Saccharomyces cerevisiae S288C: one gene and its partner. The protein of the gene in region 1 interacts with the protein of each later gene in a pairwise test. Each region holds a gene or a part of one and is shown on either strand. Other genes may lie near its edges. The genes, in order: MLC2 and MYO1.

Evidence for each region.
Region 2: the proteins of MLC2 (region 1) and MYO1 interact in binary tests that used the Saccharomyces cerevisiae proteins (3 or more experiments, as listed by UniProt).

What each region holds. Positions count from the first base shown.
Region 1 is NC_001148.4:910,942-914,285, forward strand, and holds MLC2 (Mlc2p), read right to left. Parts: upstream 1,539-3,344; coding exon 1,047-1,538; downstream 1-1,046. Other genes in the region: PZF1 (Pzf1p), read right to left, coding at 1-81; DNA-directed RNA polymerase core subunit RPO26, read left to right, coding at 316-335, 412-859; SKI complex subunit tetratricopeptide repeat protein SKI3, read left to right, coding at 1,723-3,344. UniProt on the Saccharomyces cerevisiae protein: Regulatory light chain for the class II conventional myosin MYO1. May play a role in the disassembly of the MYO1 ring at the bud neck at the end of its contraction during cytokinesis.
Region 2 is NC_001140.6:149,963-157,665, forward strand, and holds MYO1 (myosin 1), read left to right. Parts: upstream 1-1,703; coding exon 1,704-7,490; downstream 7,491-7,703. Other genes in the region: YHR022C (uncharacterized protein), read right to left, coding at 1-383; YHR022C-A (uncharacterized protein), read right to left, coding at 1,255-1,344. UniProt on the Saccharomyces cerevisiae protein: Required for cell division.

The DNA of each region.
Region 1 (3,344 bases):
CTCTGATCGTGATATGGGAATGGTCTCCTGTTTAAGTTCGGCCAGTGGCATTCCTTCATTATTTAGAACCTCTCCTCCCATTTGACAGCGATTTCAACAGTTACTACTGTGCTTAATGCCCTTATTTGATAGTTAGTTCTTCTTATAATAAATAATCATTGTATATTGATTATTCGTATAGTATGATATTTAATTGAAAAAAAAATTTTTTTTTTTTTAAGAATATCATTCAAAGGCATCAATCACAACCTTGAAGAAAGGCTAAAAAGACACATTTTGCAGGTAACAGTGTAAAGATTAAGGCTACAAGTGATCATGTCAGACTACGAGGAGGCGTATGTGCATTCATATTGGAGAAATTGCGTGCTTTAGTTTTAATTATATTTACTAACTTCTATCATTGTGATACAGGTTTAACGACGGTAATGAGAACTTCGAAGATTTTGATGTAGAGCATTTTTCTGATGAGGAGACTTATGAGGAAAAACCTCAATTCAAGGATGGTGAAACAACCGATGCCAACGGTAAGACCATCGTTACTGGTGGTAATGGCCCAGAAGATTTTCAACAGCATGAGCAAATAAGAAGAAAGACACTTAAGGAAAAGGCCATCCCAAAAGACCAAAGAGCAACTACTCCATACATGACCAAATATGAAAGGGCAAGAATTTTAGGTACAAGAGCCCTACAAATTTCCATGAATGCGCCAGTTTTTGTAGATTTAGAAGGTGAAACTGATCCATTGCGTATTGCCATGAAGGAGTTGGCTGAAAAGAAAATTCCTTTGGTTATTAGAAGATATTTACCAGATGGTTCCTTTGAGGACTGGAGTGTGGAGGAACTCATTGTGGATTTGTGATTACACCTGCATTTTCCTTTATGTGTATTTGCTTTGTTTGTATATTATTATAACTATAAAGAACGATTTATTTTGTAATGCAAATAACTGGACGAGAGAACCACGCTATAACCTATTTGGTAATAAAAATGTTTGTATGAATAAAAAAGCTGCTGACTGCTTTCTTTGATATGTGTATATAGAATATTTAATCGGTGATTGAATCTAAGAAAAGCTTACCTCTGAAAGTTCTCTCTTCGGTCGCTTGCTGATTTGTAGTAAACAATTTGAAAAGTTTAGCAAATTCTTCCTCAGGATTTTCAAAACCGGCTTCCTTTAAAGAATCAATGACCTCATTCAAGGGAACGTTTAAATCGTGTCCTCTTCCAATGGCTTTTAAACTTTCTTCCAATTCTTCACGCTCGGGAAACTGCGATAAGTTCTTCCCCATGATAGATAAGAATATGGGAAAGCTTACACCTTCTTCTCCAACTTCCGCGGTACTGGTGTCATTGTCAGGTACCATTTTGGACCATTCCTCATCTGTCAATGTCTTCCCCAATGTTGCATATATCTTGGTAAGATCTCCCCTACTAATCAGACCATCCTCATCCTCATCCAGCATTTGGAAAGCATCTTTGAGTTTATTTATGTAGTCCTGCGTAAGTTGGTTAAACGTTAGCGATTCACTATGGTCCATATCTACTTCAAGTTTGCTCAATAAACGATTCGAAATTACTCTTTTCTTAGCTGTGCATTGTATAGTTTAGAAATACGAGAAATGTAAAAAAAAAAATAAAGTTGGAAAACAACTAACTAATAAAACTTTCTTGTCAAGAAAGACACTAAGAACACAGAAAAGAAACACGAAGAGCAGAGGAAATATGTCGGATATTAAACAGCTATTGAAGGAAGCCAAACAAGAATTGACAAATCGTGACTATGAAGAGACCATCGAAATATCGGAAAAGGTTCTTAAACTAGATCCCGATAATTATTTCGCACATATTTTTCTAGGGAAAGCACTTTCGAGTCTTCCAGCTAGTAATAATGTCAGTTCAAATCGGAACCTGGAGAGAGCTACTAATCATTACGTGTCCGCTGCCAAATTAGTTCCTGATAACCTTTTAGCGTGGAAAGGACTTTTTCTCTTATTTAGAACCACTGAGGTTGTCCCAGACATACTTTCGTATGATGAATATTTTGACCTGTGTGGCCAATATGCAGACGCACTTTTAAAGCAGGAACAGTCTCAAGTAGAACTAATAAATGACATAAAATTACTAAAGAAAACGCATCCAGATTGTCAAAAAGCCTTTTATCAGCATTTGAAACCTGGGTCGCTAATGGCGGAAACTATTGGTCGTCATCTATCTACACCCCAGGACGCTTTATTAAATCTTATAAAGATACTGTCTAATATTGAAACAACGGAAATAGGTAAGACCCTTAGTCAGAACAGGTTAAAACTAAAAGCTAGTGATCCTGATTATCAAATTAAACTAAATTCATTCTCCTGGGAAATAATTAAAAATTCAGAAATTGATCAGTTATACAACCAGTTGGTAAATATTCTCGCTGACGATCAAAAGAGAAGTGAAATTGAGAACCAGTGGTTAGAATATAGAATCAAAGTGCTAAAATCAATGCCGCTGGATGTAAAAAAAGATTTTTTCACGAAAGTTAAGGAAATGGTCGAGGATATGGTTCTTGTGAATCATCAATCTTTGCTTGCATGGCAAAAGTATTTCGAATGGACAGATTACGAAGATCTGGACAACATGGATGCCCCATTGATAATAAAGTACTTTAAGAAATTTCCTAAAGATCCATTGGCCATGATCCTCTATTCCTGGCTTTCCTCAAAACTATCGAAATATGATATTAAAAGTTTGGAATCGGCTAATAAACCACCTGAAGGCCATAAAAAGACGGAGAAGGAAACAGATATTAAGGATGTAGATGAGACAAATGAAGATGAAGTTAAAGATCGCGTTGAAGATGAAGTTAAAGATCGTGTTGAAGATGAAGTCAAAGATCAAGATGAGGAGGCAAAGGAAGATGAAGAAGAAGACCTTGATGATATAGAAATTGGTTTATTAGAGGAAGAGGTTGTCACTGTATTGACGGAGAATATCGTAAAATGTAAAAATAATATCTTAGCGCATCGCATTCTTTGTCAATATTACCTACTGACCAAGGAGTATGAGGCAGCTTTACCATACATCAAAAATGGTATTTCTTTAATTGCCTATAATATAAAGGACCTGGGGGTACATTTGCCATTAACAAAAAGAGAATTTTCTCTGGATTTGGCTACCGTTTATACATATGTCGATGCCCCAAAGGACCACAATGCTGCATTAAAGTTATATGATAACATTTTATCCGGTGATTTTAGTAATATACAAGCAAAAATGGGCAAAGGTATAATTTTTATTGAAAGGAAAAATTGGAAGGATGCTATGACATTACTAACACAGGTGCATGAACAATCGCCTAATAA
Region 2 (7,703 bases), on another chromosome or scaffold:
AAAACTTGAACATCAATACTGGTGCGTCTTTGAGCAGTCGATTTATTGGCATTGATCAGGCGCTCTTCTAGGAAATTGCCACAACTTTCATAAATTGTGCCAGAGTTTTTAGCTTTGAAACCCGCATAATTCGGCAACTGTCCTTTTACGCCAAAGGTACGATAGTATTTTACCAAAGTATCAAATTGGATTGTCTTGTGGTAGAGGTCCGAAACCCTATAACGATTAGCATCTGATATTTGAAATGAACTACCTAGCCAACTGCGAACCAGAGAAGTTTTTCCAGAATGATCATCCCCCATTACAGTAATCTTCGAAGATTTCAAGTCGAAACATCTTGGGATTGACGCAAGGCTTGCGCCGTATGATAAGCGAACACTCATAGCGTTTGACCTAATACGGTATAATTAAAAGAAAAAAAGACAAAAAAATAGGATAGCCAACACAGAGCAGAACCTTAACAATTTCTCTAGATACAATTTACATGCTCAGCGTTTCTTTATATACATTCTCCCTGTATATATTCCTTTGAAAATTTCTTAGATTTTTTTGAAATTAAATAATAAGTAACGAGCCAAGATCGTTAAGGTAAGTACTTGAAAAGGATTTTTCAAAGAAGGCAAGCATAGACGATCTCTACGACATTTTTTTTTGCCCTTGATGTTCTTATGAAAAACAACTTCTACAAGTTGTACTTATCAGAAGTGCAAAAAAAAAAAATTGTTTAGACGACAAAAATAGCGTTTAATAATCAAGGTCATGGCTTTTAAACAAAGCGTTAATCTTAATCCCTATATCTCCTCTAAAATGGACGTAGCTTTTACAAAGGGATATTACGCTTGAGTATCCCTTTTGAAGATCGTTGCACCATTACGTATTAAAGCATTTTTTTTCCTCCGTCAAGATCTTACCCGAATACTGCTGCAGGACATACAAAGCGCACTGACATGACGCAGGAAGATTGATTAGAACCGTCCGCAAAATTTTCTTTGTTACAGCATTAGTAACGCATCACCTCCTTCTCAAGCTAGGGCACTTTTAACTCATAAAGCGACACATTGCCTTTTCAAATATTGTAGCTTTTCAAATCACGCAATGGAATATTTGCAGCATTCATTGTTCCGTCAAAAGTAAAATTTATTTTTAGTACTTCAACGTGGAAGGCAAACCTTGCCTTATACCTTTACATGGATGGTTTTATGCTATTGTGAAACGAAGTCAAAAGGCTAAACAAAAAGATAAAGGAGGGGCATATTATCGGACCACCTCGTATAGCAAGAAAGGGTACTTATCAAAAGAAAAGGTCGCTGAAAATCGAGCCCCTCTTGAGAATTTGATTTTCATACATATCCCTTTTCTCTTCCGGGTTAAAGCCTTTACATAAATGTGTCATTGTATAGCATTACTTTTTTTTTGGTGTGAAAAAAAAATCGGAAAAATATTCACAGGGTAATGCTGAGATAGCTTTTCTTACCCTCCTTGGAATTTGGAATATTTCGAGATTTCATCATTTAGCCCAAAAGGGTAATTGCGTAAACATTTGTAATTTCTTGGTGTATTTGTTTTGATTGTTCATTGTTTATGACCAGCTACTTTATTCATACTCTTCCACACTACTTTTTTTTTCTTGATTACATCTCGAATCCTGCGAACTTCGTGGTTAGAAGATCATAACAAAGTTAGACAGGACAACAACAGCAATAATGACCGGCGGGCAGTCTTGCAGTTCTAATATGATCGTCTGGATACCAGATGAGAAAGAAGTTTTCGTAAAAGGGGAGCTGATGAGTACCGATATCAACAAGAATAAATTTACAGGCCAAGAAGAACAAATAGGAATTGTCCACCCGTTGGATTCCACAGAGGTTTCTAATCTAGTGCAGGTACGAATATCCGATGTATTTCCAGTTAACCCATCGACTTTTGACAAAGTAGAGAATATGTCTGAGTTAACCCATTTGAATGAGCCGTCTGTGCTTTATAACCTAGAAAAGAGGTACGATTGTGATCTAATATACACCTATTCCGGCTTATTTTTAGTGGCGATTAACCCTTATCACAATTTGAATTTATATTCTGAAGACCATATAAACTTGTACCACAACAAGCATAACAGGTTATCAAAGAGCAGATTGGATGAAAACTCCCATGAAAAACTGCCGCCGCATATATTTGCAATTGCAGAAGAAGCCTATGAGAATCTTTTATCTGAAGGAAAAGATCAATCTATTTTAGTCACTGGTGAATCCGGTGCGGGCAAGACAGAAAATACGAAAAAGATTCTACAATATCTAGCATCTATAACTTCTGGCTCTCCTTCCAATATAGCTCCTGTTAGTGGTAGTTCTATTGTAGAAAGCTTCGAAATGAAAATTCTACAAAGTAACCCTATCTTAGAGTCTTTTGGTAATGCACAGACTGTACGAAATAACAACTCTTCAAGATTCGGTAAATTCATAAAGATAGAATTTAATGAACATGGTATGATCAATGGTGCGCATATCGAGTGGTACCTTTTAGAGAAATCAAGAATTGTTCATCAAAATTCGAAAGAAAGAAATTATCATATATTTTACCAACTATTATCCGGTTTAGACGATTCTGAGTTGAAAAATCTACGCCTTAAATCTAGGAACGTAAAAGATTACAAAATTTTATCCAATTCTAACCAGGATATTATACCAGGAATCAACGACGTAGAGAATTTTAAAGAACTGCTCTCGGCATTGAATATTATTGGGTTTTCAAAAGATCAAATAAGATGGATATTTCAAGTAGTGGCAATTATTTTATTAATCGGTAACATTGAGTTCGTATCAGACAGAGCAGAACAAGCATCTTTCAAAAATGATGTTAGCGCAATTTGTAGCAATTTAGGCGTGGACGAAAAAGATTTCCAAACTGCCATATTAAGGCCTAGATCAAAAGCCGGAAAAGAGTGGGTTTCACAGTCCAAAAACTCTCAACAAGCTAAGTTCATCTTGAATGCCTTATCAAGAAATCTTTATGAGCGGTTGTTCGGATATATTGTGGATATGATTAATAAAAACTTGGACCATGGGAGTGCAACTTTGAATTACATTGGATTGTTGGATATTGCTGGTTTTGAAATATTCGAAAATAATTCCTTTGAACAATTATGCATCAACTATACAAATGAAAAATTACAGCAGTTCTTTAATAACCATATGTTTGTTTTAGAACAGAGCGAATATTTAAAGGAAAACATTCAATGGGATTATATAGATTACGGAAAAGATTTGCAACTGACGATTGATTTGATCGAAAGCAAGGGGCCACCGACCGGTGTACTACCGTTGTTGGATGAGGAAGCCGTTTTGCCCAAATCCACTGATGAGTCATTCTACTCTAAACTGATCTCAACTTGGGACCAAAACTCTTCAAAGTTTAAACGTTCAAGATTAAAAAATGGGTTCATTTTGAAACACTATGCTGGGGATGTGGAATACACTGTGGAAGGCTGGTTATCCAAAAACAAAGATCCTTTAAACGATAATCTCTTGTCTTTGTTGTCTTCTTCACAAAACGATATCATTTCAAAACTGTTCCAGCCAGAGGGCGAAAAATCTTCTAGTGCTGGTGTGGAAGCCAACATCTCCAACCAAGAAGTTAAGAAATCAGCTAGGACAAGTACCTTCAAGACTACATCATCACGCCATAGAGAACAGCAGATAACATTACTAAATCAACTAGCTTCTACCCACCCACATTTTGTTCGTTGTATAATTCCAAACAACGTGAAAAAAGTGAAAACATTTAACAGAAGGTTAATCTTAGATCAATTACGTTGTAATGGTGTGCTAGAGGGTATTAGACTTGCCAGAGAAGGTTACCCAAATAGGATAGCATTCCAAGAATTTTTCCAGCGGTATAGGATCTTGTATCCTGAAAATTCAACCACCACGACTTTCAGTTCTAAATTAAAAGCCAGTACCAAACAAAACTGTGAGTTTCTTCTAACGTCTTTGCAACTGGATACAAAAGTTTATAAAATTGGTAATACTAAACTGTTTTTCAAAGCTGGAGTATTGGCAGATTTGGAAAAACAAAAAGATGTTAAGCTGAATAATATTATGATTAAACTAACAGCAACTATACGAGGTTACACAGTAAGAAAAGAAATAACGTACCATCTACAAAAATTAAAGAAAACAAGGGTGATTGGTAATACCTTCAGATTATACAATAGACTGGTGAAGGAAGATCCTTGGTTTAATTTATTTATCAGGATCAAGCCACTTTTAACATCATCCAATGACATGACCAGAACCAAAAAATTCAACGAGCAAATTAATAAACTGAAGAACGACCTTCAAGAAATGGAATCTAAGAAGAAGTTTTTGGAAGAAAAGAACCAAAAAACTGTCAATGAGTTGGAAAATACGCAGGACTTGCTAAATCAGGAGAAAGAGAATTTAAGAAAAAATGAGAGCTTATTAAATAGAGTTAAAACCAGCTCAGAAACATTACAAAAACAATTCGATGACCTTGTTTCTGAAAAGGATGAAATTAGCAGGGAAAAACTAGAAGTTGCGCAAAATCTTGAAGAAGCTCATCAAAAAATCCAAGGCCTTCAAGAAACTATTAGAGAACGGGAGGCGACCTTAGAGAAATTACACTCAAAAAATAACGAACTAATAAAGCAAATATCAGACTTGAACTGTGACATTTCTAAGGAACAGAGCTCCCAGTCTTTAATCAAAGAATCTAAATTGAAGCTAGAAAACGAAATAAAGAGATTAAAAGATGTCATAAACTCGAAGGAGGAAGAAATAAAATCGTTCAACGATAAGTTAAGTTCCTCAGAAGAAGATCTTGACATAAAATTGGTCACTTTAGAGAAAAATTGTAACATTGCGATGTCAAGACTACAATCCCTTGTAACAGAAAATTCAGATTTGCGTTCGAAAAATGAGAATTTCAAGAAAGAAAAGGCAGCACTGAATAACCAGTTGAAAAATAAGGAAAGTGAACTGTTAAAGATGAAAGAAAAAATAGATAATCACAAAAAAGAGCTTGCTACTTTTTCCAAGCAAAGAGATGACGCAGTTAGCGAACATGGTAAAATTACTGCTGAACTAAAAGAGACAAGAATCCAACTTACCGAGTATAAATCTAACTATCAAAAGATTAAAGAAGAATATTCCAACTTCCAAAGAGAAACGAAGGAACAGGAGCAAAAGAAAAGAAATAGCCTGGTTGAGTCTCTGAACGATAGTAAAATTAAAGAATTGGAAGCTCGGTTGTCACAGGAAATATCCTTAAATCAATACTTAAACAAAAGAATATCAGGAAATTCTGTAGAAACGAATATTTCGTCTACTAGACGTTCCACATCGTATTCAGATGATCCACTTGACAAAGAAGATATAATAAAAAAATACTATGACCTTCAATTAGCGTTTACTGAAATAACTAGGAATCTAGAGAATGAAATTGAAGAGAAGAAGAACTTAATTTCTAGATTGAGATTCACTGAAACAAGACTAGCATCTTCGTCTTTTGAGGACCAAAAGATTAAGGCACAAATGAAGAAATTAAAAAAATTGATCCAGGATATGGACCCTAGTATTCCTTTGGACAGTATTCTAAATGAGCCGCTAGATAACTGCCCTGACAAAGAGTCTGATATTAACAAATTAATGCTTGAGGTCGATTATTTAAAAAGACAATTGGATATCGAAACAAGAGCTCACTACGATGCAGAAAATGCCATATCTGCTTTACACAGTAAATTTAGAAAGATCCAAGGGGAAAGCTCCCTGTCATCTTCTGATATTTACAAACTGAAGTTCGAAGCCAGTGAAGAAAGAGTCAAATCCTTGGAAGACAAGCTAAAAACCATGCCTTTACGTGATCGAACAAATTTACCTGTCGGAGATATTATAAAGAACCGTGATAGCATTTCAAAATATGAAGAAGAAATTCGCTATTATAAACTTGAAAACTACAAGCTCCAAGAAATATTAAATGAATCAAATGGAAAATTGAGCCAACTCACTCTTGACTTGAGGCAATCAAAATCCAAAGAAGCCCTACTTAGTGAACAATTAGACAGATTACAGAAAGACCTTGAATCTACGGAACGCCAAAAAGAACTACTATCATCCACAATAAAACAGCAGAAACAGCAATTTGAAAACTGCATGGACGATCTGCAAGGGAATGAACTGCGGCTAAGAGAACATATTCATGCACTAAAACAAGCTGAAGAGGACGTAAAGAATATGGCGTCTATCATTGAAAAATTGAAAACTCAAAATAAGCAAAAGGAAAAGTTAATCTGGGAGCGCGAAATGGAAAGAAATGACTCAGATATGCAATTACAGGAAACTCTGCTGGAGTTGAAGAGAGTCCAAGATGTAAAGAAAATCCTGAGTGATGATTTGGCCCATTTAAAGGAGCGATTGAGCGCTGTAGAAGATAGATCCCAATATACGGATGAGATTAATAGATTAAAGGAAGAATTGAACTGCTCTTTAAAAGCTGAAACAAACTTAAAAAAAGAATTTGCAACCCTTAAGTACAAACTGGAAACTTCGACTAATGATTCTGAAGCAAAAATCTCCGATCTGCTGAAGCAGCTCGATCATTATACAAAAGTGGTGGAAATGTTGAACAACGAAAAAGATGCTATTTCTCTTGCAGAAAAAGAACTTTATCAGAAATACGAGGCACTCAATACTGAATGCGAGTCTCTTAAAGGAAAGATAGTGTCTTTGACTAAAATCAAGCAGGAACTGGAATCTGACTTAAATCAAAAGACTGATGCGCTACAGATATCAAACGCAGCACTCTCAAGTTCCACACAAAAGAATAAAGAGATTACTGAAAAAATCAAATATCTGGAGGAAACACTACAACTGCAAATGGAACAAAATTCAAGGAATGGGGAGTTGGTTAAGACATTACAGGCCAGCTGCAATGGATATAAAGATAAGTTTGATGATGAGAAGCAGAAGAATATTGATTTATATGAAGAAAATCAAACTTTACAAAAGCTCAACACCGACTTACAGCTTCAACTAAAAAATTTGCATGAAAGATTATCAGACACTACTGAAAAAAACGCATGGTTATCAAAGATTCATGAATTGGAAAATATGGTAAGCCTAGAAACGGACTTGAAATATGAAGAAATGAAAAAGAACAAGAGTTTGGAGAGAGCAGTGGAAGAGTTACAAACTAAGAACTCCCAACAAACAGATGTAATAGAACTAGCGAATAAAAATAGAAGCGAATTTGAGGAAGCTACTTTGAAATATGAGGCTCAAATCTCTGACTTAGAAAAGTACATTTCTCAACAAGAGCTTGAGATGAAAAAATCCATTAGAGATAATTCTTCTTACCGCGACAAAGTGCAGGAAATGGCCCAAGAAATTGAATTCTGGAAAAGCCGTTATGAATCTACCATGATAGGCTCGAAAAATATTGATAGTAACAATGCACAGAGTAAAATTTTCAGTTAACGAACTTTTTTTTAAAAATTTGGAAGACTTTATATCCTTTATTTAAAAAAATAATGATGAGATGTTTTGTATATACAGAATGAGAATATGCATTATTAACAGAAAAAGACGACACGAGCGTTATATACTAAGTGGCATGAACTCTTTCACCCCGTATCCTTCGATAGTAGTCTTAAAGGTGGTACATAAAATAAAGAAAATAACCGATTCAAT